Ovis aries: one gene and its partners. The protein of the gene in region 5 interacts with the protein of the main gene of each other region in a pairwise test. Links are inferred from orthologs where the notes say so. Each region holds a gene or a part of one and is shown on either strand. Other genes may lie near its edges. The genes, in order: ABT1, ZBTB16, ARHGEF3, ATOSB, CEP70, RHPN1 and G patch domain-containing protein 4.

Region 1 (4,708 bases), on a different chromosome or scaffold from region 5:
CCAATTTTAACTTTTCAAAGGCCTGTTGCTGCCTCTCAGCCCAATTTAGTAAATCCCCTTCTGGCCCTGTTAGGAGTTCATACAAGGGCTAGGCCATCTGAGAGTATCCTGGGATCAAAATTCTACAAAACCCAGTGGCTCCCCAAAATTCTGGGACCTATGCAGGTTTTTGGTCGTGGGATTCTCAGGATTACTGCATTCCTGGATTGGTCCAACAGTCTTTTGCCCCCTCTCAGGACAAACCCCAAATATCTTACCTCCATCTTGTAGATCTGTGGCTTTTTCCTCAAAACTCGGTAGCCCGCCTCCATCAACAGTTCTAGCAAAGCCTTAGTTCCTTCCCAGCAGTGTTCTTTATTCTCTGCAGCCAACAGCAGGTCATCCACGTATTGTAGCAGCCAGTATCTAAACCTTCCTGGCTGGAATGAGTCCAGATCGGAAGCCAAGGCTTCCCCGAGAATGATCAGGGAATTCTTAAATCCTTGCGGGAGGCAAGTCCAAGTGAGCTGTTGTTTGGTGCTCCCTGCAGGATCTTCCCATTCAAAGACAAAAATAGGTTCAGATACCGGAGCAATATGGATATAAAAGAATGTGTCTTTTAGATACAGGCAAGTATAGATCTTAGCACTCGGTGGGAGGAGGCTGAGTAAGGTATATAGGTTAGCAGCAGTGGAGTGTAGAGTTACCGCTGCTTGATTGACCAGTCTGAGGTACTGTACAGGCCTGTAGTCCTGTCCCCTTTCCTTCTTAACTGGCAGGATTGGTGTGTTCCAGGCTGACTGGCATTCAATCATGATGCCCACCTGCTGTAACCTATTTATATGTGGCAGGATACCAACTCGGGCCTCCAGTGCTAGCGGGTACTGACATTTCCTGACTGGTATGGCACCAGGTTTGAGTTCTCTTACCACGGGAGCTTGATGTTTGGCAAGCCCAGGCAGGGGCGGGGTGGGGGTGTATCTTTCGCCCAAACCTCAGGGAATTGTTGGATCAGCTCTCTCTTTGGATTGTTTAACCCATCTGGCTTCCCTTCCAAAGGATCATGCAATCTTCATTCATCTTGAGGGGTTACCAAAAGGGAGAGTAAACAGCTGGTCGAGAGCGGGTCTTTCTTGGAGAGAAAGGTCACTTGTGCACCCAATTTAGATGACAAGTCTCCACAAAGAGGTACTGGGCATTAAGGAATATACAGGAATTCATAAGTCACTTGATGCCCCCCCCACCCCAATCTGGCATTTTGGGGGTAGACAGAATAGTCTAATCAGCTTTTCCCTGGTTACTCCTGCAGCAATGGCCTTCTCTGGGGGGTCACCGGTTCGGTCACCACTAACATTTCTGCTCCAGTATTCACCATAAAGTCAATAATTTGGTTCTCCACTTTTAGTTTTACCATGGGCTCTTGGGGACCTTGTGTCTTTGAGCCCCGGCACCCCTATTCAGCCTCCAGTTCAGCCAGCCCTAAAACAATCAATGCCAGTTATTTTTCCCAGCTGTTCTGAAGGCATTCATTTTTCCAGTGGCTGAAGCCCCGGCATGGGCACATTGATTTGGTTGCAGGGCGATCCTGGGCTTCCTTATAGGAGGCTTGCCAGGAGACCAAGGCTGATTTAGAGGGGGTGGAGGTATTGAGGAAGGCCCAAGGAGGGGCCTTCCCAAGGCCTCAGCCAGTAACACCATCCTCTGATCTGCTCTCTTGTTTTCTTCTCTCCGTTTTTTCTCAGCCTTCTTTTTTGCCTCCACGTCTCTGTTTTTGAACACTTTATTAGCAATCTCAATTATTTGTGTGCTGGTCATGGCTAATACTCTGCCTACCTTTTGGAGCTTGCGTCTGATATCAGGGTAGGCTTGAGATACAAAGGCTGTATTTATCACAATTTGAGACCAAGCTGCCTCTGGATCTATTGGTGTATAAAGTCTATAGGTCTTGCATAGTCTTTCATATAACTCAGTAGGTGTTTCAGTTTCCTTTTGGACTACTTCGGTTGGTTTTGCCATATTTATAGACTTACGGCAGCCCTCTTGAGACCTTGTAAAATAGCCGTCCTATATCTCTCAAGGTGGCCCCTTCCTGCCTCTGTGTTATAGTCCCAATCGGGCCTTTCATCAGGGTTGGCTAGTTCTGCCCACCGCTGTGGGTTTACAGTACACTCGGGGGCCACTTCTTGTAGCCATTTTCTAGCCTCAGTATGGATCCTGTGTCTTTTTTCAGTGCTGAAGAGGGAAACTAGCAGCTGGATTATGTCCTCCCACGTAAGATGGTAGGTTCGAAAAATAGTCTCCATCAGCCTGATCATGCCTTGGGTTTCTGCCAGTTTAGTAGGTCCACAGAGGAAAATGGTTGGTAATAGTAGGCTCGGGGAGGCTGGTGGTAGTGTCTGTCTGCTCCCTGAACCGGAGCTGTTGCACTCTGTTGTAGCTCTCTGCGAGGCATTTGTTTACCCCGGCTCTTTGGCGGAGCGCAGCCTCTGTCGAATTCCTGTGTCTCCTTCCCCCTTTCCGTCAGTACTCACCGGGAGAGGCTGATACTTTTTAGGAGGTTCGGCTGAGGCTGAGTCCTGTGGACGTTGACTAGAGGTTCCTACCGCCGGGATCGGAGCCTGCCGAAATGGCGGTTCTACGATCTCCGGGGGAGTTGGCCCAGGAGCAGCTGGTGGAGCCCCAGCAGGCCCTGGATCGGTGGTCATTAAGGCGGCCTCCGGTCCTGGTGAGCATTAGGTGGCCGGCGCGTCATCCAGTATGGGAGAGAGGGCAAATCACTCCCGTCCGGATCCTGCAGAATTTCTTTTTTGTCATCAGTCGATTTTTGTGCCATTAATGTTTTCCCTCTCTCTTTTTGAATGCAGAGTCTTGCCCAAGGGGGAGGATCTCGAGCCAACCACAGCCAAGAATCAGTATATGGGTATTGATCCGGCTGCCCCGGCGTTCCGGTGACTACCGCAGACCGCTTTTATTGTTTTTAAGTCCATGGTGCCCTCTGGTGGCCATCCTACTCCCATAGAGGGCCGTTCAACCTCACAGAATATGCGGAATCGGTTAGGCGTCATGTTCACCCCATAATCTTCTTCAAATTCCTTCTTAAAATTCTTAATCATGCACTCCAATACAGTTGCCTTAGATTCACTTCCTCCCATCTAGCTTACATTCTCGGACCTTCTTCTTCCTTCCCTTTTCGTTCTGTCCACGAAGTTCTCGGTATCCTAAGTACTTCTTGATATTTCTACTCAATGAAACACATATTGCCATTCCGCCTCCTTCTTAATTGGGGTGAGGAGAGCCTTCCTGCTAGAAGGGGAATTGGCGAGTCTTCATCTGCAGGTCCGCAGTGCCGAACCAGAACACCAAGTGGTCCAAGATTATTTTCTCCTCTCACTTTGAAAGTCCGTTCTGCCTTGGTGGGCTTGATTGGGTGCGGATGAAAACATAGATGGATTAAATATCCCACGTCCCAGACGGTCTCGGGAAAGGTCAAATTGTTTTCACTCGCGTATCTTCCTTCTTTAAGCCTGACAACCCTGAGGGGATGAATTCCACAGCAGATGGGACACCTCCTCGGGGAGGGCAGAATATAAGCACACAAAGACCAAGTTTCTTCTTCCCAAAGCCCTCTCGCAATCGCCTGGTAATAATTTACCCCAAGACGACGCGGACACCACCTCCTTTATGACTTTGACGGTCAGTGTGTCCCCTCCATGGGGTCGCTAAGAGTCGGACACAACTAAGCGACTTCACTTTCACTTTTCACTTTCATGCATTGGAGAAGAAAATGGCAATCTACTCCAGTGTTCTTGCCTGAAGAATCCCAGGGACAGAGGAGCCTGGTGGGCTTCCGTCTACGGGGTCGCACAGAGTCGGACACGACTGACGCGACTTAGCAGCAGCAGCAGAAGCAATGTGTCCCCTATTCCCTCCCAGGGGGTTGATCAGGCCCCCTCTTCCACCCCGCAGGGTGGGAATCTCCTTACGTGAGCGCTTAACTCCCCTGCCCCAGTCCACTACCCACTAACGTGAAAGATCCCGGCGTGGGGAAGTGGAATCTTTACAGAAGGACGAGGCGCCTTAACCCCGTCTAGAAGATCAGAGCCGCGAAGCGTCGGAGTAGCCCCAAATGGGACTTGTCTCTCACAGTGAGGAGTTTCCCGGCCAACGCATGAAATGTAGCCAAAAGCTCCGGGAAACAAACTCACTCAGAAGGATAGCGTGAATAGTGGATTGCAGTTTATTACACTCGCGGTCCGAGGCAGAGTTTCCTCTTTAGCCAGGGACCCCGACCGAGTTTTGTGACAATCTATTGTGCCCAAAGTGTATGGGCCCAAGCTCACATACCCAAACTGGCTCTGGACAACCTTAGTAAGAGATACAGTCAGGTTTTAGCCATAAATTCACATTCTAAAGCCCACATCAATAAATATTATTAAGATTACAGATAGTGATTGATTAGATAGTGGACATTGCATTCCTTCTGGCTCGGGGAGGTCTAGGTACGGGGTCTGCCTGGTCTGGGTTTTTGTCCGCCCGGGAGGCCTGTTCGTGTGCTGGTATTTTATCTCCATGGCCTCCCAGATATACAGTCCAAAAGTTCGCCGAGGGTGTAAGATGGAGTTCCTTTTCTTTTAAAAATGGAGTCAGTCCAGTCAGAGCAACCTGCTTCTTTCCTTTTTCACCTCCATCAGCTGAACAACCCGCTAGAACGGACTCGGCCCTGGCAGTT
Region 2 (3,908 bases), on a different chromosome or scaffold from region 5:
CTGGAGCCGGCCCCAGCCTGCTGGGGAGAGCCTCCTTTCACAAGTCTTTCCAGCATCACCCCCACGCCCCGCCCCTGTGTTCATTGTTATCACCTTATTTGCTTAAAATCAGCCACATGGGAGTATTCACAGCATGACCATCTGCAAATGCTACAAAATCAGGGCTTTGTGGAGAGCCCAGTGTTAAACACTTACCACTGGCACACTGCTGGGTTGGAGGTAGATATTTAGAAGGACTTCCTTTGAGGATAAGAAGTGGTGGAAGGCAGTGGAATGTGGCCAAACAGAAAGCTCCCCTGATCAGGGGAAATAGCTGCCTGAGCAGAGTTAGAAGGGAGAGGCGATTCCGCTGGGCTGGCGGGGAGGGTGTGAATTCCTGGGAGGGGAGGTGGATGGAGGGGCCAGTAAGCACAGGATATGTGTTGTCACAGGTCTGCGTTGGGCCACACCAAGAGGATGGGGTGGTTGTTGCTGACAACTGGAATGACCCCCAGGATTTCGCAGAGCCTCAGGGGCTTCCTTAGCCCCTTGTGGGAGATGTGACCTGGCGGGTGGATCATTAAATGCATTGGCACTGACTATCGTAAATAGCCGGTCGATAGTTAGATCACTTTGGCTGTTCATTACTTCATTATTTGCAGGGGCCTCTGCACGGTGGAGTATCGATAGTGAGATGGCTGGCCAGTTAATTACTGTATCGAAACAAGGTTCTCCTGTGTCCTCCGCTCAGCTCCAGGGGACTGTAACAGAGGGGTGGGTGGTCACAGCTAGGGTGTAGGCCACAGGCTCCCAGGGTCTCCGTCCCTCCCTATTCTAGCTCGAGAGGGGAAGTAGGGTCCAGGGCAGATTCTTCCTAGTCTTAGAGGAGGAGGCATCCCCAGGGGTAGCATGCTTGCCAGACTGGGGTCCTCTCACTCTTAGCACCCCCTGCTTCTCATCATCTGTAGCCCTGAAAGAACTCTATCCCCTTGCTTCCGTAGAAGGAGTTGTGTGCTAAAGAGCCATCCCTAAGAACTTTAGAGGCTTCGAGGGCACTTTTTTAGATTTCTGTTTTCTCTCTTAGGAAGGAGAGAGTCCACACGCTAGAGAGAGTTAACGCTTCAGTCCAGGGGCTGGAGCTGGCCCACACATGACCACTACCTCCATGTGGCTAAATTTACTGGGTTGGCCAGAAAGTTCATGCAGGGTCCCAATACCCAAGACTTCCGTTGTGACTCAGCTGGTAAAGAATCCACCTGCAGTGTGGGCAGGATTGGGTTGGGAAGATCCCCTGGAGAAAGGGAAGGCTACCCACTCCTGTATTCTGGCCTGGAGAAATCCATGGACGGTACGGTCCGTGGGGTTGCAAAGTGTCGGACACGTCTGAGTGACTTTTGCACACGCACACACGCACACAGGCACACACAATACATTAGTTATGGTGAACAAGATTAAGAGTGTAATATACTGGAAACTAACACACCATTGTAAATCAACCACACTTCAGTTAAAAACACAAAGAACATAGGGTCGCGGTCGCACAGGCCACGGTTCAGGCACTTGGGAGCTGGATGTGACTTGTGGCCGCCACGCTGGGCGGTGCACGCGGCACACGGAGAAGTGTGGGCCCAGAGGGCCTGAGCGTCCCCAGCTCGCCGGGGTGGGGCTCCTCACGGCCCCCTCCCGCCCCCTGGCCTCTCCTGACCCCCCTTCCCCCACAGGCGAGAAGCCCTTCGAGTGTAAGCTGTGCCACCAGCGCTCCCGGGACTACTCGGCCATGATCAAGCACCTGCGAACGCACAACGGCGCGTCGCCCTACCAGTGCACCATCTGCAGCGAGTACTGCCCCAGCCTGTCCTCCATGCAGAAGCACATGAAGGGCCACAAGCCCGAGGAGATCCCGCCCGACTGGAGGATAGAGAAGACGTACCTTTACCTGTGCTACGTGTGAGGCCGGCCTGAGGCCGCGGCGGGGGAGCCGGGAGCAGGAGGAGAAGCGATGGAGCTGGGTGGAGTCCAGGAGGACCGTGCAGGGCAGAAACACACACACACACACACACACACACACACACACACACACACACACACACACACACACACACACACACAACACACAGCAAGAAACAAAAAGCAAATGAAAAAAAAGGAGAAAGAGAGAAAGGAGGAAAAGGAAGTCTCGGGGCTGTCTGGCTCTGGTTCTGCCTGGGGCTCCAGGTGACCCGGATGCCTGGCCCAGCCCCTCCACCCAGGCCTCCATCCCTCCTTTCCTGGCTGGGGGTCGTTGGCCTGCTCTTTTCGGGTGGGGGTGGAGGGAGGGGGTTTGTCCAGCTCAGATGGTGGGATGTTTTTCTCTTCCCTCCACCCAGATCCTCCTTTTGTGTCCCGAAATAGAAACTAGGAAAGGGCTGCGGGGTCCTCTGGTCAGAGTCAGACCGTCCCTGCCTGCCGTGCCCACTGACTCCCCGGAAGGTCGGGGGCTGAGGGATGGGTGGGGGTGTGCAGGGGGCGGCCTGCAGAGGCTGGGGCTGGGCTGGGTCACTGGTTGATGCTCACAGTGGCAGCTCTAGTTTGCTGGGGGGCACACTGGGGTGGGGGAGGGACCCCCTCCCGCCCTTCCCACTGCTCAGTTCATCTGTTGCTTTCTTCCTCCGCCACACCCGGGAGTCCCTTCACAGTCTTTGAGGAGCCTCGGGGCTCTTGCCTGCTCCCTGGCTCCCCTTGACTCCTGTTCTCCCAGCCCCCCCATGGATCGGAGTGTCTCCTGCCTCCTCCGGCTCCCTGGTGGGGAAGCTGGGTCTGACTAGAGAACACCCCCCTCCCCGCCCGTCCCCCGCCGCCAACTTTCACCCTTTTGGTTTCTGAAAAAATGCAGACAAATTCAGTGGAATAGCCCATCCCAGTCCAGCCATCCTGAGCAAGACTCCTGCTGAGCTGCTTTTGCTTCCAAAATGGAAAAATGTAACAGCTAAATACATGCTGTCCCACCAAACGAACACAGCCCCTAGGAGGAGGGTTCGGTCCGTGAAAGGGGTCGTGGCTGGTGAAGGGACGTGATGTCCTCCAGAGGTGCCCTACACCTGGTGGGGGGTACCCCTGTCCTGGGAGGGAGTTGGGATGCCGTGCTGGGGACCCTTGGAACTCATGGGACCCCCCCAGGCCTGGTGCTCTCTGCAGGGAGACCCAGGTCCAGAGGGCTGTGCAGAATTCCTGGCTCCCAGGGGTGCCCAGGCCACCGAGAGGAGGCGTTGAAAGCGCTTTGCCTTGTGTTCCGTTTTGCTTCTGTTCTGTGTCCTCTGTTCACCTGTTAGCACATTGTACTTGAATTACCTCAGTTTTTTGTGACCTCATGAGCTTTTTTGACCCCTGTATCTCTGTTTTGGTTGGGGGTTGGAGGAATGGGGAGAGTGTTCTTTTCAGTTTCTTGTGTAAATTAATAGCTGGTTTAATAGACTTCAGCTGGCCAAGGCCCTCCCCATCCCCTCGGACGAGCCTCCCAGATGGAGGGAGCCGTGCAGAAGGAGCTGAGTACTCAGGATCTGAATGGGAGGCCGGGGCAGGAGGTGGGTGCCTGCCGGGGACGGGGCGCCGGGGACACCGCAGGACCACAGCTGGCTCTGACCAGACATGACGTCCCCAGGCCTAAAACACTCTGGAGCGAATCCCACCTTTCTTACAGTTTGCTGGGTCCTCCAGGTCTGGGGGCCTGTGTTCTTCAAATCCTTTTTCACGCGTGTGGCCCCACCTCCGTGTGCATTATCACTGCCAAAACTGGCCTCTGGTCTCTCTGCAGGGCTGGTTGGGGACAAGACGGCCCGTGTGTTGTTGCAATGGGGTGGGGGTGTTGTTTTTCTCAAAGCTACCTCTTACGTTTGTCCAGCTCTTTTGTTCCCCTTCACGCCTCCCATCCTGCTGCTCTGCGTCCCCCACTT
Region 3 (3,908 bases), on a different chromosome or scaffold from region 5:
CTGGATGAAATTGCAAGGTCAAGAGAGCGCTTCTTCCTTTGCGAAATTAAACCTTCAGAATCCCCAGGGATGTTTTCCTGCTTTTTGGTTGGATGATATCAGACTGATTTAACTTGAAACAATGATCTTTCCCGGTTTCCTTCAAACACCATAATGATTACACAGGTAACTTCCTCATGCCCTGTTTGCAAGGCCCTTGAAAATTCATGCCTTTAGCTACTCTGTCAAAGAGCTAGAAAAGTACTAGAGAAATGAGGAAGGATCCTTTAAAAGTAATCTATATGAAACAGCAGATTAGAGGCTGTTTTCTATTTTTTAAAATCCAGCAGGACCAGTGAAAATATTGATAACTTGTTCAAGTACATATCCACCCATCCAGACACTTGGGAAAAACAACACAGGGTAACAGTTGCCACAGATTCCAGCTGACACAAATTGGCAGTTACAGTACAAGAGACAAAAAAGTACAGACAGAAGAGACTGGGTCAACACAGTCACAAAAGTGTGAAAAAGTGCTTCTCCAAACCGTTCCACATGTGGAATGCAAATACTGTACAGGTAAGACACAGGGCGACTTCCAGGAAGCACACGCTTCTGTCAGACGTTGCTTTCAACATGCCTGCTGTTCCCACAGGAAGAGTCTGTCTGTTCCATGCGCTCACAGTCGAGGCTGACCTCACTCGTGTCCATGCTACAATCCGATTCACTGTCTGATTGGTCCATCTGCTCAAGTTTTGTTTCTCCCTGTGGTTCCCTGCTCCCGGTGGCGGGATCTAGGAATGGTCCCTCAGAATCAAGGACCGTAGCCTGCCCCGTGGCACACAGAACTGTTTCTTTGGCTTGGCGAATACAGTTGAGCCACTGCTGTTTGTTGAATGTGTCATTGGCTTGTAATGAGTGGGTCTGACTTTGCGATCCATTTTTGAAACTCACTCTGAAGAAGTTTTTAACTAGAAAAAAAAACACACAAAAAAGGTCAGTGGGCAGATATTTCCGCAGGTCAAAGATAACCTATGTGGTGACACTCACCCTGGTATTCAGGGCGAGATCACTCACTGATTACTAAATGTCCTACTATTTCAGGACATGGCTCGGCTCCACCCTGCAGCCTCCATCAACCAACAGGTGTTGACACAGGTCTGGCACTCAGTGGCCTTCCAAAGCTATCAAATCAGTACAGAACAACTCTGTCTGGGACCCTGGAGTACTGGGTACCAAACCTGGCCATATATCAAAATCTCCAAACAACATGGTAAAAATACAGATCCTGGGGTCCTCCCCTTAGGGATTTGGATTCAACAGATCTGGAGTCGGGGAGGGAGGGGGAGCTGATAATCTGTCATTTTAACAACTGCCCCAAGCTAAAGCTTTTTCAAGTTCAAGACGCTCTTTGTAACATCAAACAAGTCCAAGATCCTCCACACGATAGTACCTGTGTATTTAGTATCCGATGACTGAGAAGACATGTAAAGATAGAATTCTTTTGTGTTTTTTTTTGCTGCACTGGGTCTTCACTGTAGTACACAGGCCTCTCTAGTTGTTAAATGTGGGCTTCAGGGTGCATGGGCTCAGTAGCTGAAGCACGCGTGGGCTTAGCTGCAATATGTGGGATCTCAGTTCCCGGACCAGGGATCGAATCCGCGCCCCCTGCACTGGGAACTCGGAACCTTACCCACTGGACCATCAGGGAAGTCCCAAGATACAGACAGAACTCTTAAAAGTTTGGATTCATTTTAAAATGAAATGACATTCTAATAACTGCCAACAGGAGTGATATGCATTTGTTTCTTTAAAATTTTTATTTATTTATATATATTTCTGTCCATGCCATGCCATGTGGCTTGTGGGATCTTAGTTCTCCAAACAGGGGTTGAACCCAGGCCCTCAGAAGTGAAAGCATGTAGTCCTAACCATTGGACTGCGAGGGAAATCCTGGAGCTATGTGCATTTAAAAAATGATGGTGCGCAATATGGAAGACATTTGATTTAATTTAATAACAACATTAACTGGCATTTCATGGGCCCCACGAGTCACATGTATGTGGTTCATGGACGTGTCTGAGCTCAGTCAGTCCAGTCCCCCTGTAAGATCCTTGAGGTCAACAGACTGGCTTCAGATAAATTCAAGCTCCACTCTTTTCTGTGAGGCAAATGCCTTGACTCCTCTACATTTCAGTTTATTTGTAAAATGGGGAAAACAAAGAGATTCAACCTTAGATAGTTATTATGAGGGATAAACATAATAACATATGTAAATGCTCCTACATTGCTATTGGAGAAATGTAAGTACTACTACTGCTACCAGTACTACCACTAGGGCAGAGGGGCTGGTGTGGAGGTAAGAGGCAGCGTATATTAACTACTTGGACAACATGACAGCAATATTAACCCAACAGGCTCAAATGTTACTTGCTCAAAGACGACTTCCCTGATCATTTCATCTTAAACAGATCTCCTATTGCTATTCTCTGTCTCCTTAATGGGTTTTAGTGTTTTGTTTTTTTTTTTAAAAAAACACACCCAGAATATTTAGTTATTTCTCATCTATTTTCTCCATCACAAGGTAAATTCCACAGGGCTCCCCAAAATTGACCTTTGTGGTAGACCAATGTATACCAGTGCCTGGCACAGTGTTTGACACATAGAAGACCCTAGATAGACACTGCTATCTAAGCTTCTCTTGGTTAATTCCTTTGTTTACTAAATCTCAAGTCAGAGAAGCCCATTCAAGTAATTACAGATAAACCCTCAGCCCAGTTGACCATAGTTGTGCCTCTTTAGACACAAGTCAGCTATGTGAACTCCCACTGTTAAGTGGCTGCAGTCACATAGGGACAGTCTGGTCTTAAGAAGGCTTTTATCCAGTGGAAGCAGTCAGAGAAAGGGAGCATAGGGGGCACCGGTCATGCTGGACAGAGGTCAACTCACAGTGTTTCACTTAATCCTTAGAACAATCATATGAAGCAGGCATGCATGCATCCCCACTTTGCAGATGGGAAACTAAGGCTCCTAGAGGTTGAGTAAGGTTCCACAACCTCTAAGTGATGAAACACAACTGAGATGCAATTTGACTCCAAGGCCATGGCTTGTCTCTTTCACCAGCCGGCCATTCCCTGCAAACCACCACTACCAAAGACATTCCACAGGTCAAGAGGGACAGCCATCCGTACTTCTCTCATTGTTGCTGAACGCCCCGCGCAGGGAGCCCCCCAGCCTCACTTCCCCATCCTGCAAGTCTTCCAGCAGGAGGTCCTTCATGGGGATAGGCTGCCGGTACAGCTGGTAGCAGAGCTGCTCATTGTGGGTAACGGCGCGGGTGATAACAAGCACTTCTTGGAAGAGGAAGACATGTAGTTTCTGGAAGAAAAGAATACACAGGATTCCCTTAAGCAATAATCTAAGGAGTTGATAAGTAGACCTCTGGGGATAACAGGTCTCTGGGTACCAGTTTCAAACTGACCTATGAACTGCTCAGCTCAAATCTACCTCCAGGAGAACACCAGTTGGGGGTTGGAGGCATTTCCAGATGCATCCATTGCCTGTCCTGTAAGGGCACCTCCCTAGGGCCCCAGTGAAGAAGGCCTTTCTGCCTACAGATACCTGCTTTCAGGTCTGCCAGCTCCAGGGGTGTTCACAAGTCACAACACATGCAGGCACACGTGGTTTCTAGCACTTTTATTACAGGAATATTAAAAAAGAAATAGAAACCCCATAGAACAAAGGGTGTAATGGAGGAAAAAAAAAATCAGTCCTTTCCTGGCTTTAGTTTATTATATCCAGTACAATTCTAAGAGATCAAAATGAGCAACAGTCCATAAAGGATGAGACTGGTATATCTGAGCCTAATATTAATCTTTGCTTCTCAAACCCGTAAAACACTCATTCATTCCACCACAGAGCTGATTATC
Region 4 (4,456 bases), on a different chromosome or scaffold from region 5:
TAAAAGCTTACTGGGAAGACAGGTAGACATACAACACTGTAGGAAAGAAGTAACCCCTTGGTGACCCCACCGTGTTCTATCTAACTGCCAAGACCATAGGCCCAGACCTTAGTCATCTGCAAAAGTCTAGGGGCAGTAGTTCAGGGGGAAGGATCAAAGACGTCCTAGGCCTCAGTGTGCTCTGGGAGAGCAAGCAGCGTTGTACAATCAAGAGGCTTTACCTAGCTGCCCTAAATTCTTACTCTGCTTTATTTTTCTTCATAGCAGTTATCACCAGCTGGCACTTCTCTTCCTCTTTCCCCCTCCCTCTCCTTTCTCTCCCTCTGCAGCCACACACACATTTCTTTCTCCCTGGGTTAGAATACAAGCTCCATGAGAGCTGCAACTCTGTTGTATTCATGCTAGTACTCCCAGAATCAGTATCAGTGCCTGGCACATAATAGGTGCTCAATAAATGTTGGCTCAACGAAACATTGACCCCTGGGCTGAGTGAAGAGTATTCAGAAGACCTGGGTCCCAATGCCTGGTCTTTCACTATGAGACCTGGAGAAAATATCAGTCTCTTCTTTCTTAATTTCCAAATCTGTAAAATGAGTTTGTATACACAGTTACCACTGAGGCCTCTAGAACTCTGACCTTATACTGCTATAATCCTAATGGCTATTGTTCACTCTTACCCATTTTCAGAGGATGGGTCCAAGCATCTGGATGCTCTGCTGCTTGTAAGGAAGTAGAAAGTCTATATACTCCAGCCCCTGCATAGCAAACCAATGCCCTTTCTCTTCATGCCCCACCCACTCAAACAAATGCCACAATCTTGAGGAAGCTGGAGTGAGTCCGCCCTAAGCCCGCCTCTCTGAGAGACAATCTGGGAAGCTGTGTTGCCATAGCAATCAGCTCCTCCTCAAAAGGCTTCAGCCTGCCCTTCTTTACCCCACCCTACCCCACGGCTTTGTCTGGCTTTGGCACCCCCTCCCTCCCCAGCCAGTCTCTCAGCCAGAGGAGACTGGCTTGGGGCCCCTTTCAGCAACACTGTCACTCTCATTCAGCCACGGTGTGGAAAGCAGGGCTTTCTCACCCTCTTGCAGCCTGCCCAGGGGCAAAAAGAAGTCTGGCGCTAAATCAAGTCGCCTCAGGGAATCAGAGACTAGGCCCTAGTCTGGTTCAGATAGTCAGATTCCAACCCAGGAGGGTGGGGAGCCATTCCCTGTCCCTCCCCCAGTGGAAACTGGAACCTCCCTTCCCAGTTCAGCCAACAATAGTGGCTGACCTCTCAAAGCATGCATCGCAGACCCTCAGTACTTCTGACCATTTCCCTCTCCCACAGAAGCCCAGAGTTTTTGAGGGAATTAGGGTTCCCTACCCAGGAGAAGGAAAAGTGTGCAGAAATCAGTTTGTGGCAAGTGGTAAAAAGGTATCTACCACTCACTTGGGGGGCTGTGGGGAGAGACCTTGGTAGCAGTGAGGGTGAGGTCTGGGCCTTGCTGCTGGTTACCTAGGTCTCTGGCCACTGAGTACAAAGTCTGGGGCAGGGCACAGCTCCTAGACAGGCAAGGACCAGGCCAGGCCCCAGGCGAGGAAGGAAGTGGGAAATGAGCACACCCAGAGCATAAGGGCAGGGCAAACTGGGGGAGGAGGGGAAAGACAGGGACTAAGGCAAGCTTCTAGGAGGAACAGGAACTACAGTGAGGGGTACCCAGAACCTAAGGGGGGAAGGGTCCCCAGGGACACCAGCTAAGGGAAAAATATCCCAGTCTCAGCCAGACAGATCCAAAGCTGACTGAGACAGTCACACAAGCTCTAGTAGCAAGTGGGGCCTGCATCCTCTCTGAGTGCTCAGGCCTGAAGGTGGAGTTAGGAGCTGAGGAGCCAGGAACACTGCAGACTGGCTTCTTCACCCGAGTAATCCCATCACCCTCATCCCTGAGACACTGTACAAAAACCTCTTCCTGGAGTCTCTACAAAGCCTCCAGACTTTCTCAAGGCACTAGGGGTTCTCCCCTCCTCATCTGGGGCCTGTAACCCCTTCCCCTCACACAGTGCCCACAGCCCCCACACCTTCTTCCTCCACACAGTCCCTCCCACACTCTGGACCACTAGCCGATCTCCATCACACAACGCCCCCTCCACTTTCCCCTAAAGCGCCTTCATATCCCCTCCCCCTCAAGTATCATCTCCAACCCTTCACTTCACCTCACCCCCTCACATTGTACTTCCCAGCCTCACAAAGCACTCCCGCCCTTCCCCCACAAGGGGTACCGGAGAAAGCACCTCTTAGCCCAGTGAGCCCCCCTCCTCCTCCTCCAGCTGTTTTACTCCATCCCCACCCCAGCATTTCTCCAGATCTTTTCCTTCCCTGACATGATCCTCCCGCTTCACGTCTACCCAAGCGCACCCCCGTACTTGTCCATTCTTCCACGCGCACCCGCCCCACACCTGTAGTTCCGCGAGTCCCGTTGCAACTGGGGAGGTAGTGGATTGGAGCAGTTACATAGCTGCCCTAGCTGCAGCCTCGGCCTGCAAACCTCGCCCCTTTGGTCCGAGCCCCGCCCCCGCAACGACACGACCCACCCTCTCCGTTGTCCCACCTCCCACCTTCCCCTGGCTCGTCCCCTTTCCTAGATTCTTTAATTCCTGGGGCTCCTCCCCTGTAATTCAGGTCCTGCCCCTTTCTGGCTCCTCCCCTTCTCGTCTTCTTGGCGTCTCCACAGAGAACCTCTGCTTGTCTTTCGTCCCACCCCGGTCCCCGCCCCATCCTTGATCCCCGCCCCCTTCTGGTCTTCGCCTTTCACTAGGATCCGCCCCCTCGGATTCCAGGCTGGCAGAACCGGTGCCAGGCTCGCTTCCACTGCTAGCCCCCTCCCATCTCGGAGCCTCTCCTCCCCCCGCCCCTTCTCTGGCTGGCCTCACCCCGGCGCTGGCGCTGCAGCCCGGAACCGCTGGTTTTGATTGGCGGCGGTGGCCCCAGTGGATGGCGGAGGAGACAAAGTGATGGCTGCAGGTCGCCTGAGGGCCCACCCCGGCCACGTGCGGCTTCTGTGATGACAGGTCTAAAGGGGCGGGGCCTCAGTCCGCAGTGTGCGGCCTGGGCTGACCGGATCCGGCCGGAGATGGGGAGCCAGAACCTGCGCCAAAGCGCTTGCTTGTGGGCGCCCGAACCAGGTTGGAGCCATCCCAGGCTTTCGAGCTGGTGTGAGCTGCCTGCGGAACTTGAGCCTCTTAGTGAAGGCATCTGGGTTAGCGCGCGTATTTGCCCTAATGGGGGAGATCTGTAGGGTTTGCAAAGTAGTGCAAAGAGCTTCAGAATTCTGTGAAAATGCGGGAATCTGGTTGGCCGGGGTCTCAAGTCTGTGAGGAAGAGCACTTTCTGTAGCCTACGGCGTGTAGGAGACAGGCAGTAAGAGTTAGGTCTATAGCTGTGGAGGTAGGTCGGCGAGAAGTCTGTGAATTTTATGAGCCAAAGTAGAGCCTTTGCTTTGTTCAGTCGACTGAACCTGTATGACTGTTACACACGTTCTGTAATTTAATTAGCGCTTGAGTCTTCAACTTCCCGGGAGCCCCACGAGTTCCCAAGATATGTCCAGGGGAGAGCGACGCTTACGAGCCACCGGTAGATGGCATCCCAGGTCCCTTGCAGAGCCGAGTGGCTCTGAGCCCAGAGCCTAGTGAGCTTCTCGATGGAGTCGGAGGTATTGATGGCTGTGTGATGGACTGGACCTGGTAAAGTTATCTCAAAGTCTCAGATTCTTTAGATCTCTGTGACTTTCTTTCTGTGAGTAGTTAAGAAGCGGCTTTACTAAACACCAATGGTGCGCTAGGCAAAATGAAAACAGAAAAAGAAAAAAATGTTCTGCTCTTACGGAACTGCTCAGATTGTCTTTCTAATACTTCTGTAATGCTCAGTTCAGTTCAGTTGCTCAGTCGTGTCCGACTCTTTGCGACCCGGTGAATCGCAGCACGCCAGGCCTCCCTGTCCATCACCAACTCCCGGAGTTCACTCAGACTCACATGCATTGAGTCGATGATGCCATCCAGCCATCTCATCCTCTGTCGTCCCCTTATAGAGGGTAAAATTGGAAGAGTTTTGTGTCATGGAAAAAGCTCAAATTTGAAGTCATTTGGTTTGGTAAGGACACTATACTAGCTGTATTGGGCAAATTACTTGATTACTAGCTAAATTTGGGTAAATTACTAGATTAAAAAAATAAATTTTTAAAAAGGTTTTTTATTATCGGGATCATTTTAAAAGTCTTCATTGAATTTGTTATAATATTGTTTTTGTTTTATGTTTTCGATGTTTTGGTGGGAGGCATCAGAATCTTAGCTCCCCACCAGGGATCCAACCCACACCCCTTGCATTGAAAGGCTAAGGGCAACCACTGGACCACCAGGAAAATCCCTAAAAATAAACTTTTCATTTTAGAATAATTTTAGATTTACAGAAAATTTGTGAAGA
Region 5 (3,908 bases):
TTTCCTCTGTTGGTTTGTGTTATAGAAATTTTAAGAATGCAAAAAAATTTTAGAAAGTTGTTATGTTGTTAGATGAATATGTTGGTTGATATGATTTGTTTCTATTACTAAGAGAAGGAATTGTGTGTCTGTTACTAGAAATGAACTTCAGCAACAGCAAAGCCGAGCAGCAGATCAGGAACAACGAGCTAATGACTTGGAACAAATTATGGAGAGTGTGAAGTCCAAAATTGGTGAAATGGAGGATGAATCTGTAAATAGGGTTTGCCAGCAACAGAATAAAATAAAAGAACTTCAAAAGGAGCATAAAGCTTTACAGGTACTGAGTTAAACATTTTCTTACATGATAGTCTTAAAACACCTTGTCAGTGTTACAGGTGACTTCCATGTTGCTTAACTCAGTGATCCTTATCTTCCTTTACCTATTATTGTCATTGTCTTGAAATTCTTTCTTTGCTGTTTCCATAATATCTTCTCTTCTGGTTTTCCTCTAACCCCACTGGTTATTTTTTGATCCCTTTGTTGATTCTTCTCATTTTCCATGACTCATCCCTTCAGTTCAGTCGCTCAGTCGTCTCCGACTTTTTGTGACCCCATAAATCGCAGCATGCCAGGCCTCCCTGTCCATCACCAACTCCTGGAGTTCACTCAGACTCTCATCCATCGAGTCAATGATGCCATCTAGCCATCTTATCCTGTCGTCCCCTTCTCCTCCTACCCCCAATCCCTCCCAGCATCAGGATCTTTTCTAATGAGTCAATTCTTTGCATGAGGTGGCCAAAGTATTGGAGTTTCAGCTTCAGCATCAGTCTTTCCAATGAATACCCAGGACTGATCTCCTTTAGGTTGGACTGGTTGGATCTCCTTGCAGTCCAAGGGACTCTCAAGAGTCTTCTCCAACACCACAGTTCAAAAGCATCAATTCTTTGGCACTCAGGCTTTTTTCACAGTCCAACTCTCACATCCATACATGAGCACTGGAAAAACCATAACCTTGACTAGACGGACCTTTGTTGGCAAAGTAATGTCTCTGCTTTTTCATATGCTATCTAGGTTGGTCATAACTTTCCTTCCAAGGAGCAAGCGTCTTTTAATTTCATGGCTGCAGTCACCATCTGCAGTGATTTTGGAGCCCCCCAAAATAAAGTCTGACACTGTTTCCACTGTTTCCCCATCTATTTCCCATGAGGTGATGGGACCAGATGCCATGATCTTCGTTTTCTGAACGTTAAGCTTTAAACCAACTTTTTCACTCTCCTCTTTCACTTTCATCAAGAGGCTCTTCAGTTCCTCTTCACTTTCTGCCATAAGGGTGTTATCATCTGCATATCTGAGGTTATTAATATTTCTCCCTGCAATCTTGATTTCCAGCTTGTGCTTCTTCCAGCCCAGCATTTCTCATGATGTACTCTGCATAGAAGTTAAATAAGCAGGGTGACAATATACAGCCTTGACATACTCCTTTTCCTAGTTGGAACCAGTCTGTTGTTCCATGTCCAGTTCTAACTGTTGCTTCCTGACCTGCATATAGGTTTCTCAAGAGGCAGGTCAGGTGGTCTGGTATTCCCATCTCTCAGAATTTTCCACAGTTTATTGTGATCCACACAGTCAAAGGCTTTGGCATAGTCAATAAAGCAGAAATGATGTTTTTTCTGGAACTCTCTTGCTTTTTCCATGATCCAGTGGATGTTGGCAATTTGATCTCTGGTTCCTTTGCCTTTTCTAAAACTAGCTTGAACATGAGGAAGTTCACCGTTCACGTATTACTGAAGCCTGGCTTGGAGAATTTTGAGCATTACTTAACTAGCATGTGAGATGAGTGCAAGCTTGTGCAGTAGTTTGAGCATTGTTTGGCATTGCCTTTCTTTGGGATTGGAATGAAAACTGACCTTTTCCAGTCCTGTGGCCACTGCTGAGTTTTCCAAATTTGTTGGCATATTGAGTGCAGCACTTTCACAGCATCATCTTTCAGGATTTGATATAGCTGAATTGGAATTACATCACCTCCACTAGCTTTGTTCATAGTGATGCTTTCTAAGGCCCACTTGACTTCACATTCCAGGATGTCTGGCTGTAGGTGAGTGATCACACCGTCATGGTTATCTGGGTTGTACTCATCCCTTGCTGCTGCTGCTGAGTCGCTCAGTCGTGTCTGACTCTGTGCGACCCCATAGATGGCAGACCAACAGGCTCCCCCTCCCTGGGATTCTCCAGGCAAGAAGGATTGGGTTGCCATCCTTCTCCAATGCATGAAAGTGAAAAGTGAAAGTGAAGTCGCTCAGTCGTGTCTGACTCTTAGCCGCCCCATGGACTGCAGCCTATCAGACTCCTCCGTCCGTGGGATTTTCCAGGCAAGAGTACTGGAGTGGGCTGCCATTGCCTTCTCCGACCTTTCTTTTTCCTATAAATTCTAACTTCTTTGGTGATGCTCAGTCTAAGTCATAGTACTTTTAAATCTGTGGCACAGGCTTCTTCCCTTAATTGCATACTCACATCCTGCATCCTACTTGATATCTCTATTGGATGGCTAATTAGGCATGTAGAACTTTTTAACATGTCCAAAACCATACCTGGATTTCTTCCCCAAACTTTTGTCTTTTAGTCTCCACTCTGGTCCAAGTTACTTTCATTTCTTTCTTGTGTCTTTCTTGGTTTCCCTACTCCAAGCCTTGCCTTTTTCAATGTGCTCTCAACATTGTAGCACCCTCTAACTTCACTTTTTCTTTTTTTTAAGGGAAAAATCCAAAACTCTTTACCATGATCTTGCATGATTGTCCCTGTGTTGCACCTCTTGCATATTCTATTCCAGTCACACTGGCATTCTTGATTTTCTTTGAACATTTTCCTTGAACATTCTCACCTCAGGGACTTTGTATATTTTGTTCTTTTTCCCGCTACCATGCGTGGTTTTTTAGCTGCGTGGTTTGTTTCCTCTCTGCTTACTCAAGTGTCACATCACCATCTCTCCGGGATTCCTTTTTTGACTGCTTCACTTACAGTTGGCAGTCCTATCCCCCAACATATCATCTGGCCTTCCCTGCTTTGTTTTATCCATAATTCTTACCACCATCTAACATGCTGATATACTATACACTTTGTTTGTATATCTCTGTGTTAGAATGCAAGCTCCATGAGGGCTGATATTTTTGTCTGTTTTGTCTAGGGCTGAGAAAATGTCTGCTTTATTATTAGTTGTAGATGCTCAATAGATATTTGAATTATTGATTATAAATTTTTTAGTTTTTATTGAAATAGCAATGTTATAACATTGAATATTTAATTCCTAATTTTAAAAACCTCTTTTAAAACTTGGGTGTTTATTGTAGTTGAAAGAAAGAAATCTTTTGTAGGAAAAATCAATAGTTGTGTAAGACATTACAGATTAGAAACAGTATATCATTATAAATGTTTTCTGTTGGCACAGCATTATGTGTACCTGTTGCATACAAGGTGTTTAGCTGCCTAAAGGGACAGTACTCCTTAGGCAGGGTCTGGCTGTCCCCTCAGTTTATGCTAGCAGCATTGGAAGGATGTGATAAGTTAAATTTCAGGGATCAGAGAGAAACAGCGCGAGATACTAAGAATTCCTGGTATGAAGCTGCAGGCAGTTGGTGTTCTGCCCTCATTTAGCCTGCCAGCTTGGGGCCAGCAGTGTTGGACCTGTTGGTGTTCATAGCTCCAGAGAAGATACTAATCATTCTTTGGCCAAGCCTGTTTCTGTTATTTATCAGTCAATAAGATCTAGCATTTACGTTTTTAGGTTTGCTTTGTTAGGTAGCGTTCCTTATCAACAGTATATTCTAAACTGTCTCTGTGGGGAGGGGGATTTTGGACATATTTCTCTATGCATTTGATTTTGACCTTCATCTCAGATATAGGACATGTAGAAATATGAAGCTCTGTAGCTC
Region 6 (4,666 bases), on a different chromosome or scaffold from region 5:
TGGACTGCCCTGGGAAGACACTGGGCCCGTCGGGTGCCGCTCTGGGACTCAGCAGCCCAGCTGGAGACCCGCCAGGAGACGGTCAGTTGCTCCCCGCATCCTCCTGCGCTTCCGAATTCCTTCTATAACCTCCATGACCCGTCCTGCCCATGCAAATGCCGGACTGCACACGTTTAGGTGGAGGGGACGACCAGCCAGCTCCTGCCAGGGCACTGATGGAGAGCAGCCTGCCTGCAGGGTGCGGGGTCTCCTCTGGGCCACCCTTACTGTGGCTGGGCTCCATCCCAGTTGGCCGCTTATTGCGGCAAATGCCCAAACCACAGGCCCCAAGGGTCACTCCGCTCACAGGCAGAGGGCCAGGCCTTCTGACAGCCCCATCTGAGGTGCCTCAGTGTGGCTTCTGCCCTGAACACGGGCAATCCTGCCAGCCTGCCCGTGTCCCGGGCCCCAGGCAGAGAGCCCTGCAGCAGGTTCAGAGGGTGAGAGGTTTCCTCTGTGAGGGGAGGGGCTTTCAGGGCCCCAGTGGGACTGGTGCTGCTGTGGCCATTTAGGGACCTCCCGGCCTGGTCAGTCACCAGCCCAAGAGTTGGGAAGGACTTCTCAGAATGTTCTTCCTTGGACCATGTCCTCAGGCTCAAGTGGTCTCCTGGCCCTGGAACAGAACAGGGAAGAGGACACAGTGCCTCCCAGGACCCCACCCTGAAAGCACAGGCGTGCAGGGCTAATGCAGCCTCTCTGCAGTGGCCGCTGTCTTGAACAAATCTGAGGAAATACGTCCCCACTGCTACACACAGAGCAGTCCCCGCCTTCTGGGGGCTATAGGTTATCCCAGCCCCAAGCAGGAGGCACCCTAAAGAAGGCCTTACTCTCTTGCACAGACAAGACTCATGGCACATGACCACCTTGGATTATGGCCCAACATTTCCTCCACATTCCAGTGTTCTCAGGAGGGATCAATCAGGGAAGACTTCCTGCAGGAGGAAGCATTCTTCTGGGACTTCCAAGTGGTCCTGAGGTAACTGGGGAGAGGGGACTTATCCCCATTGAACAATGGGGGAGACAGAGCAACCACCCTGGATGACTGCCTGCTGGGGGACTCTGGACAGGTCCTCGTCTGTAGACAGAGAGGGGGCTGGTGTCAAGGTGGCATCAGGCAGGAAGAAGGCAAAACACGGCTCTCCTCTCTCCGCTCTGCTGGTTGAGTATCTGTCTTCGCACTGGCCTTCACCTCTTCTCCATGGTACCTCCCATACCCACTTGGTGCAGAAGGGAATGAGAAGAGGATACAGGCAGTCGCCCTTCCAGGAGGCCTGAGAATCCGGAGCAGGGGGCAGGCCATAGCTGAAGCTCTACTCTTCTCCCTCTGAAGGTCCAACTGCACAGCTCCAGCCTAAGGTTCTGAGTGAGCAGCAAGGCTGTCTGCCTGGGGAGGGGCGCTCCATGCACTGGGGAGAGGCTGCCAGCCCCGAGGGACTGTCCCGTCAACACAGCTCATCAGGTGTCCGATGTCACGTGCCCCCGGAGAGATGTGCTTGAAGGCGGGAGACCATAGTTCCCTCTGAGGCCTGCAGCCAGCACCCCTCATGGTCTCGTGACCCCAGCGCTCCCTCCAGGACGCAGGCTGGCTGCATGACTTGGCGGGAAGTGCGACTGTGGCCCAGTTTGCAGTGCTGGGTGGCGCTCACCCCCATTTCCACACTGGGTGGTGAAGGGGTCTGCCAGCTCGTGCATGTGTGGAAGAACCCCCACCTGATGGAGAAGAGCAGCGAGCCTCTCCCACGCCCTCCCTGCTCCAGCCCTGGCAGCACTGGTCTAATGGATCCCCCAGAAGCCCAGGAGGAAATGGCAGAGGCAGTGGCCAGAACTGGCTAAGTGTGCCAGGAACTAGGCCAGCGCAGGCCTGGTAACAGACTGCAAGATGGTTGGTGGGGCCAGGCCTCACACCCTCCCTGGTGCAGGTGCAGCTACGCTTGGCGGCACCGGCCTGAAAACTCTCGCGTGTGTGGATGCCCAAGGCCTGGCATAAACCCTGGGAAGCCTTTCAGTGACTCCCAGGGAACAGCCAGGCTCCCGGGCTGCAAGGTGAGGCAACCAGAGCACGAATCCTCCCCAGACACAGACTCACATGTCTCCACCCTCCTCCCTTGCACAGCTTTTCAGTCCTGGAAACAGTCCACAGTCCACAGCCCCCGCGGGATCAGGGGTTTCAGGAAGGGACAGAGGTGCGGGGAAGTGAGGCGGGAGAAACCACCTGCTGGGAAATCCTCCAGCCATTTCCTGTACCCGGGTGCATCAGCCACCTGTTGCTAAAAGTTCCATCAAACACAGAGCTGGGTGGCCAGGGCACAGCTGAACAGCCCTAGGAGAGAGGGAACAGCTAGGAAAGGGGGAATGACATGCCAGGAACAGACACGAAGGCCACGGGCTGTCACTGACCAGAGTCCAGCGCCTGCCAGAGATGAGGGTCCTGGAGTGTTGTTCCCAGAAACCACAAGCTGGACTTGCGCTCCGACCTGCTCCGGTCGACGCAGGAGGCGTCCCCCAAACGCACTAGACAGGAGTCCAGCGGCCGGGCTCTGGCTCCGCACGGGGCCCCAGTTCCCCACCGTTAAGCCCACCTTACGCGACGTTTCGCCCCGGAGTCCAGCGGCGCGAGAAACCAGTGCCGATCCCGCAGCCGAGCGCTCGCCCGCGGCAGCGGGCAACAGGAGCGGCCGGGTTTGGGAACCCACCTCCCGGCGCCCCCCGGCCGCCGGCCGCCGGCCGCCGAGCGCTCCCACCTTGCGGATGGGGCCCGCTTGCAGCCGGGCGCTCTCCTCGCCGGCTCCCGGGCCGTCCGATCTGTCCTCGGGGACCATCGCCGCCCGCTGCTCGGGCCGCGTCCGCCTGGAGGCCGTCGCCAGCGCAGGGACCCCCGGAGCAACGGACTCCTCACTGCCCTCTCCTGGGGGTGGCGGCCCCGCCGGCAGGAGGGGCGGGGCGCAGGCCGCCGAGCGTGCGAAACTTCCCGCTGCCCAATCGGCGGCCGCGGCGACTCCGACGGACAGCAGCGCTGGCCAACCAGAGCGTGAGGGAGGTGGTTCTCGAAGCCAGGCCCTGCCCACTCGTGTCCGCGGAGCCCCAGGGGAATGCGGTCGCCCCTGGCAACCGCCGGCCGGCGGAAAAGGGAGAAACAAGGCGCCGCGCACAGCCCAGGGGCAGCCGGGGTTCCACCCGCCGGGCGGCGGGGCCTCCGCAGGGCTAGTCCGAAGAAAACACCCGCGATGGCTTGTTAACGGATTTCCTGGCACGAGCGCCCGTGCAGCCCTTAAGGTCCGCTTTTCTGTCTCCGCTCGGGGACCCAGACTCTGGCCTGGTGGCCCCAGTGCGGTGCCGTCCATTGTCACACTTCCAGAAACCGCTTCCAGAACCTTCCTCCGGAACCTGCCTCTGGAGCCCACACTCCAGAACCCCCCTCGGCAACCTGCTTCCAGAATCATCTTACTTTCACCACCTACATCTAGAACTGACTTACCTCCCGGGACCAGCCTGCCTCCAGAACCGAACTCTCCCTAACCTGCTCTCCCTGCAGAGTTACCCCAGGCCCTTAATAATTTCTCTAGTTATGGCAACTCTGGAACGCACTCAGATTTCATGTGGGGCTCACCTCACCGAAGAGCAGGGGCAGGAACACCAGAGCATATGCAGTAGCCATAGCAAATCTTCAAGTTCTGATAAATTTCCAGCCTTGTCCATAGTAACCATCTCCCCAGGGTCCCTGCCATGCCTCGGTGCAGAGCCCTGGGCCCCTCCCCAAATGGCCAAGCCAGAGCCTGGCTTTCCCCAGAGCTAAATCCTGTAAGCTAAGCTCTTTGGCTAACCCTGGCCATCTGAAACAATAGTAACAGAAAAATAAGGTAATTGTTAACTCCGAGGAAAATAAAATGTAACACAGAATATGACCTGACTTAGCTGTGTATTTCAGGTTGTCCTGGCAGCTTGACCATAGAGGACCATGATAAGGAGTTTCTGTTAGGAGGAGGAGAGAGGGGAAGGGTGAAGAAGTGGGTGAGAGAAGCTGAAGCTTCATCCTGCTGAGGGGGAAGTCAGCAGATAAGGCCTCAGTTAGAAAGCAGAATTCCAGGTGCAGAAGCATGAGGTCCGGGACTCCCCTGGTGGCGCAGTGGCTAGGAACCCATCTGCCTATGCGGAGGACACAGGTTTGATCCCTGGTCCAGGAAGATGCCACATACCATGAAGCAACTAAGCACCACAAGTACTGAAGCCCGCGTGATCCAGAGCCTGTGTTCCATTACAAGAAAAGTCACTTCAAGGAGAAAGACGTGTCTGGCAAGGAAGAATAACTCCCACTAGTACAACCAGAGAAAGCCTGCACAAAGCAACAGAGACCCAGCACAGCCAAAAATAAATGAAGAGATAAGTAAAGAAATAAAAACCTCCAGTTACAGATGCTTGTTCTTTGGAACTGTGGGATTCAACACCAAATCTGCCGCTCAGAGTTATAAGCGGTCACCCCTGGGGAGGCGGTGGGGCCCCGGAGGAGGTTCCTTCTTGGTTCAGCAGGTTTTAGAGACCTGAGGCTGGTAAAGCTCCAAACCTTCTATAACAAAGTAACCCCAAAACTTGTGTTTTGAAGAATGGATGTCTAGTAATTGACAACAAAAAG
Region 7 (4,591 bases), about 140 Mb from region 5:
GTCTCCCTCACCCCCATGTGTCCAGGCCCTCGTGTGTTACATGCCTGCTATTAGAGCTTATACCTGCCTAGTTTCCACCACCAAGTTGGCTGCAGTCTTGTTGAACAGATCATTCCACCAGTGATTTGTGAACTCCTTGGCAGGGTCGTGTCCCACCTGCCAGAGAAGTGTGAACTCAGGGCTTGTCAATCCCCTCCCTCACCCTATCTTCAAGGCCCCCATCTCCCATCCCCACTGACCTCCCGCAGTCTGTCCAGTCTTACCCCATAAGTGTCCTGCTTCAGCGTCACCCTGAGGGCCTGGGTGATACCATTCTCCTTCCGGCCCAGGCCTTTGCCTGCAGAAGACAGCGAATGACCTGGCTTATTCCACTGCCTGCCCTAAGCCCTCACAAAGCAACCCTGGCACATGCCCTTGTCATTCCACACACCTAGCACTGAGCGTGCCCTGTCCCTCTCAGAAACCCTCCCAGTTCCACTCTTCCTACTCCCTCTCCATACGGTCTTCATGTCTTTGAGCCCAAACTCTCTTTTCCCATAATTCTCTCAGGACAGAGGTCATCTCTTTCCCACTCCCAGTTCTCTCAGCCACTTCCTTCTCACTATCCACAGTCATATTTCTTCCCTTTTCTGGAAATGTCTGGAAATTGCTGAATTTTCTTCTGCAAATTTTCTCTTTAACTTTTCCTCTTCCGTTGAACAGACTACAGAGAGGTTAATCCAGGATAATGCCTCTCCCCTGGGCAGAGGGTAGTGAGGGAGTTGGGGGATGTGGAAGGGGCCCCCTGGGAATCACCTTGAGTCCATCCATGCTTTAGCAACTGCTCCTCAGCAAATTTCATCCCCCGACTCTTGACCTCGGGGGTGATACTCATGGTGAGAAAAGTCACTGTCTTCAGGCTCTCACTGGAGAAGCAGCAGTCACTGTCATCCCTTTAAGAGGAAGGGAGAAAGTGCTCAGATCATGTACCAAATCCATCCTAACCGCTCTTATAAGAATTCTTTCCTGGAGCTGGAACAGAGATCAAGCTGGGAGGCCTGGTCCTTAGGGAGCTCCCTGACCACTGAGAGGTCAACATGCTGAAAGTCAAGGAGGACCAGTATTAACAATAATACCTAAATTTATGGAGAGCTCACCACACGCTGGGCTTTGCTAAGACTTTGCATGGATCATTTCATGTAACCGTCCCAGTCCAGGAAGATTTCCTAAACTTTGCATTCAGGAAGGTATTACTATCCTTTTGTTCAAATGAGGAAACTAAAGCCTAAAGAGGTTAGGTGACTTGCTCAAGGTCACACAGCTGATGCATGTAGAATTCACACTCAGGCAGCTGGTCTGCAGAATTCCCACTCTTTACCGCTACCTGACAATATCTCCCATGATTTATTACCATGTTAAAAACAAAGCAAAGCAATGAGATGTTTGTTAACCTGAGTGATATCTGTCTGTGCTCAGTTGTGTGATTCTTTGTGACCCTTTGGTCTGTAGCCCGCCAGGTTCCTCTGCCCATGGGGTTCTCCCAGCAAGAATACTGGAGTAGGCTGCCATCTCCTCCTCCAGTTATAAGACAGCAGTGCTTAATAAAGCCTGTATCCTATACCTGTGCCCCAGCATTTACACTGTGGGGGCTTCACCACCACTGTCTTTCAGTCTTGTTGGAGCACCCTTTTTGAAACTGTCCAGCTTGGAAAGGCGCTCTTATATTTAACAGGAGGATTACACATACTATTATACTGTCTCATTTAACCCTAACAGTTCTGTAAGACAGATATTATTTTATAGAGGAGAAAAATAAAGTCTCGGTTTCTTGCCTGGTTTCTTATATAGCTGGTAAGGGATGTAGCTGGAAATATGAGCCCAGGATGCATGACTGTATAGTAGCCCGGCTTCTATTATATTCCCAACTACGGTCATCCCTCAGTTATCAGCGGGGGACTTGTTTTAGGACCTGCCATTGATACCAAAACCCAAATTCTATACTCAGCCTTCCACATGCCAGCATGTTGCTAATTGTTTCACACATATTATCTCATTTAATCCTTCCAACAACCCCACAGGGAGGTGTTTTGGGTTTTTGTTTTGGCTGCCCCGGGTTCCTTGCAGGATCTTAGTTCCCCAACCACGGACTGAACTCCAGCCCTCCGCAGTGAAGGTACAGAGTCCCAACCACTGGACCACCAGGGAATTCCCTGGAGGTGTTTTTACTGTAACTTACAACTGAAGAAATGGCACTGAAAAGTTTAGCTACTTGCACAAATCAAATAGCTGGTTAAGTAGCGGATCTAGGATCTCAGGCACTCCAGAACTGGTGTTCTCAATCACTACTCACAGGCTCATAGCCATTTACGCTTTACACTCTAAGACTTACACAGCCTATGCCTTGTCGCATTAATTTGAAATTATATTATATACCACAGCCTATGCTTAGTCTTATTCCCAAACCCCTGATGCACTTAATGCAGCTCCTGAATGCGTTCAGTCCTTAATTGTTGAACTGAATGACACAGGTGGGAATTTCCTTAACCGACCTAGAACAGCTAACTGTGGACAGAAGCTAGATACCAGGCTGTGCTCGCAGTCTTTGCGAAGGCTGTGAGCACACTTTCAGGAACTGTCTTCTTTCCAGTCAACGTGAGTTTTCTGGAGAAGGGACCCTGGGCTACCATTCTTACAGAGGTTCTGAAGAGCTGGCTCCTTTCCCTAGGGTTCCTTCCTGTGGAGGTTAAAACTCCAGCCCTCCGACCGCAGCTTCACTTGAGTAAAACTATTCTCTTTCTGTCACATTTGCCCCTGAGCCCGGGCTATGACAGTCACCATTCGGGGGACTGTAGCCCCTTACCGTCATTGCGAGATCCTCTCCGCAGAAACATGTGACAAACGTGACTTGTGCGCAGCCATCTTCCCGGAAGTGCTGTTTCGACCCTTCTAGGCTGTGGAAACCATAGAGATGTACGCTGGAACTGAGTCTCTGTGGTCCCCGGAGAAACTGAGAGGCCGGCTTGCGGTATGGTTGCCATAGAAACTCCGCCCCAGAGCTAGCCCATTTCTGGAGATTCGAGAGGTATTCTACTTATTGCCTCCCAGCAGGCCCTGAGCAGCTAAGTGACTTCAGTCCTACCTGACTCTATCGGGGTTCGGAGAATAGCTTTGGGTCCAACATTGACTAGTCCTAGGCACAAATACGAGAAAGGAAAATTTTAGGTGAAAGCATCGAGAGTGGCCTGAGAGATTCGTGGAGGCAGAGAAGGAGGTAGTACCTCTGAGGTGATTAATAATTCAAGGGATGAATACTCAGCTTGCAGGGACAGTTTGTTTTTTTTTTTTTTTTAAATAAAATCCTAGAGGTAAGAGGTTTCAATACGTTCATCAAACACATTTTGATTCACCACTGTGTGCCAGGACCTGTTCTTCTTTGGTACTGGTGATACAAAGATGCGTAAGACACGAGCCCTGACTTCGAGAAGCACTTTGTCTAGCCCAAGCAAAGCTGGAAGCTCGAGTGGGACTGGAGAGGCAAAATCCCGGAATGCATAATAGGTTGAGGAGTTCAGACTTGCCTTATAAGTATGAGAATCCATTGAGCAGGAGAGGGAAAGAACATATTGCAAAGAAGTCAGCAAGAGAGGTTGCACATCCTCTCATCCCCACAGTGTTCTTAGGGTCCACTGAGCCACCCAGGAACTAAAATCGGAAGGGAAAAAGAAAAAAGTTTTCCCTTATTTGCATCCCTGTGTCAATATTTGGACTTCCCTGGCTCAGACGGGAAAGCGTCTGTCTACAATGCGGGAGACCCGGGTTCTATCCCTGGGTTGGGAAGATCCCCTGGAGAAGGAAATGGCAATCCACTCCAGGACTATTGCCTGGAAAATCCCATGTACAGAGGAGCCTGGTAGGCTACAGTCCTTGGGGTCTCAAAGAGTCGGACACGACTGAGCGACTTCACTTTCACTTTCACATTAATATTTACGGTAACTTAGCGCCCCCTAGGATCTTCAAAGAGAAAAGCTGCCATTTCACTCAAGCTTTGTCACAATTGTTCAGTATGTCATACTACCTCATTCCAGTATGTTTTTTTAAACATGAAATTAGTTTTACTTTTAAAATATGCTACATGGGAACAATACGTTAAACAATGGATCTTGATTAGTGGGCTTGTAGATGCTTTCATAAGTGATGTGGAATGCTTCAAATATACTGTTCAGAGGTTGGATTCAATAGAGGAGCGTTTCGTGAATGGCAGTCAGATCTGAGTCCTTTTCCTGCTCGAGAGCAACCTTTCACTGGTCTATAAAATTAGAATGTTGGACTAGTACAATCATCTTTACAAACTTGATTTTATTTCCACCGTTTCAATATTCCACCCTTTCTATCTCCCCTGTCTATCTAATATTACATATTATACTGTGGTCATAAAAGAAGTTTGAAAACTCATGAATAGGTCAAGGGCCCTTTTCAGCCCACAATTTCTGTTCAGCATACTCTTTGTCGGCCATTCTGAAAATCTAATGGCCATAATTTGTTGAACTGAACATTCAGAAAACTAAGATCATGGCATCCAGTCCCATCAGTTAATGGCAAATAGATGGGGGGA

Evidence for each region.
Region 1: the proteins of CEP70 (region 5) and ABT1 interact in a two-hybrid assay, tested with the Homo sapiens proteins (2 studies listed by BioGRID and IntAct). The two-hybrid records come from large-scale screens. The link is inferred for Ovis aries from reciprocal best matches to the Homo sapiens genes CEP70 and ABT1.
Region 2: the proteins of CEP70 (region 5) and ZBTB16 interact in binary tests that used the Homo sapiens proteins (3 or more experiments, as listed by UniProt). The two-hybrid records come from large-scale screens. The link is inferred for Ovis aries from reciprocal best matches to the Homo sapiens genes CEP70 and ZBTB16.
Region 3: the proteins of CEP70 (region 5) and ARHGEF3 interact in binary tests that used the Homo sapiens proteins (3 or more experiments, as listed by UniProt). The link is inferred for Ovis aries from reciprocal best matches to the Homo sapiens genes CEP70 and ARHGEF3.
Region 4: the proteins of CEP70 (region 5) and ATOSB interact in binary tests that used the Homo sapiens proteins (3 or more experiments, as listed by UniProt). The link is inferred for Ovis aries from reciprocal best matches to the Homo sapiens genes CEP70 and ATOSB.
Region 6: the proteins of CEP70 (region 5) and RHPN1 interact in binary tests that used the Homo sapiens proteins (3 or more experiments, as listed by UniProt). The two-hybrid records come from large-scale screens. The link is inferred for Ovis aries from reciprocal best matches to the Homo sapiens genes CEP70 and RHPN1.
Region 7: the proteins of CEP70 (region 5) and G patch domain-containing protein 4 interact in binary tests that used the Homo sapiens proteins (3 or more experiments, as listed by UniProt). The two-hybrid records come from large-scale screens. The link is inferred for Ovis aries from reciprocal best matches to the Homo sapiens genes CEP70 and GPATCH4.

Annotation. Positions count from the first base shown.
Region 1 is NC_056073.1:30,523,942-30,528,649, forward strand, and holds the start of ABT1 (activator of basal transcription 1), read right to left. Parts: upstream 2,950-4,708; 5' UTR 1,813-2,949; exon of another isoform or gene 533-1,812; 5' UTR 1-532.
Region 2 is NC_056068.1:24,499,625-24,503,532, forward strand, and holds part of ZBTB16 (zinc finger and BTB domain-containing protein 16), read left to right. Parts: intron 1-1,700; coding exon 1,701-1,930; 3' UTR 1,931-3,908. UniProt on the Homo sapiens protein: Acts as a transcriptional repressor. Transcriptional repression may be mediated through recruitment of histone deacetylases to target promoters. May play a role in myeloid maturation and in the development and/or maintenance of other differentiated tissues.
Region 3 is NC_056072.1:44,413,549-44,417,456, reverse strand, and holds part of ARHGEF3 (rho guanine nucleotide exchange factor 3), read right to left. Parts: intron 3,358-3,908; coding exon 3,171-3,357; intron 951-3,170; coding exon 598-950; 3' UTR 1-597. UniProt on the Homo sapiens protein: Acts as a guanine nucleotide exchange factor (GEF) for RhoA and RhoB GTPases.
Region 4 is NC_056055.1:53,360,607-53,365,062, reverse strand, and holds the start of ATOSB (atos homolog protein B), read right to left. Parts: upstream 3,028-4,456; 5' UTR 2,911-3,027; intron 2,537-2,910; exon of another isoform or gene 2,396-2,536; intron 809-2,395; exon of another isoform or gene 678-808; intron 1-677. UniProt on the Homo sapiens protein: Transcription regulator that may syncronize transcriptional and translational programs.
Region 5 is NC_056054.1:251,194,783-251,198,690, forward strand, and holds part of CEP70 (centrosomal protein of 70 kDa), read left to right. Parts: intron 1-138; coding exon 139-319; intron 320-3,908.
Region 6 is NC_056062.1:14,223,961-14,228,626, forward strand, and holds the start of RHPN1 (rhophilin-1), read right to left. Parts: upstream 2,965-4,666; 5' UTR 2,859-2,964; coding exon 2,781-2,858; intron 1-2,780. UniProt on the Homo sapiens protein: Has no enzymatic activity. May serve as a target for Rho, and interact with some cytoskeletal component upon Rho binding or relay a Rho signal to other molecules.
Region 7 is NC_056054.1:106,565,359-106,569,949, forward strand, and holds the start of G patch domain-containing protein 4, read right to left. Parts: upstream 2,914-4,591; 5' UTR 2,840-2,913; intron 933-2,839; 5' UTR 875-932; coding exon 796-874; intron 338-795; coding exon 264-337; intron 157-263; coding exon 64-156; intron 1-63.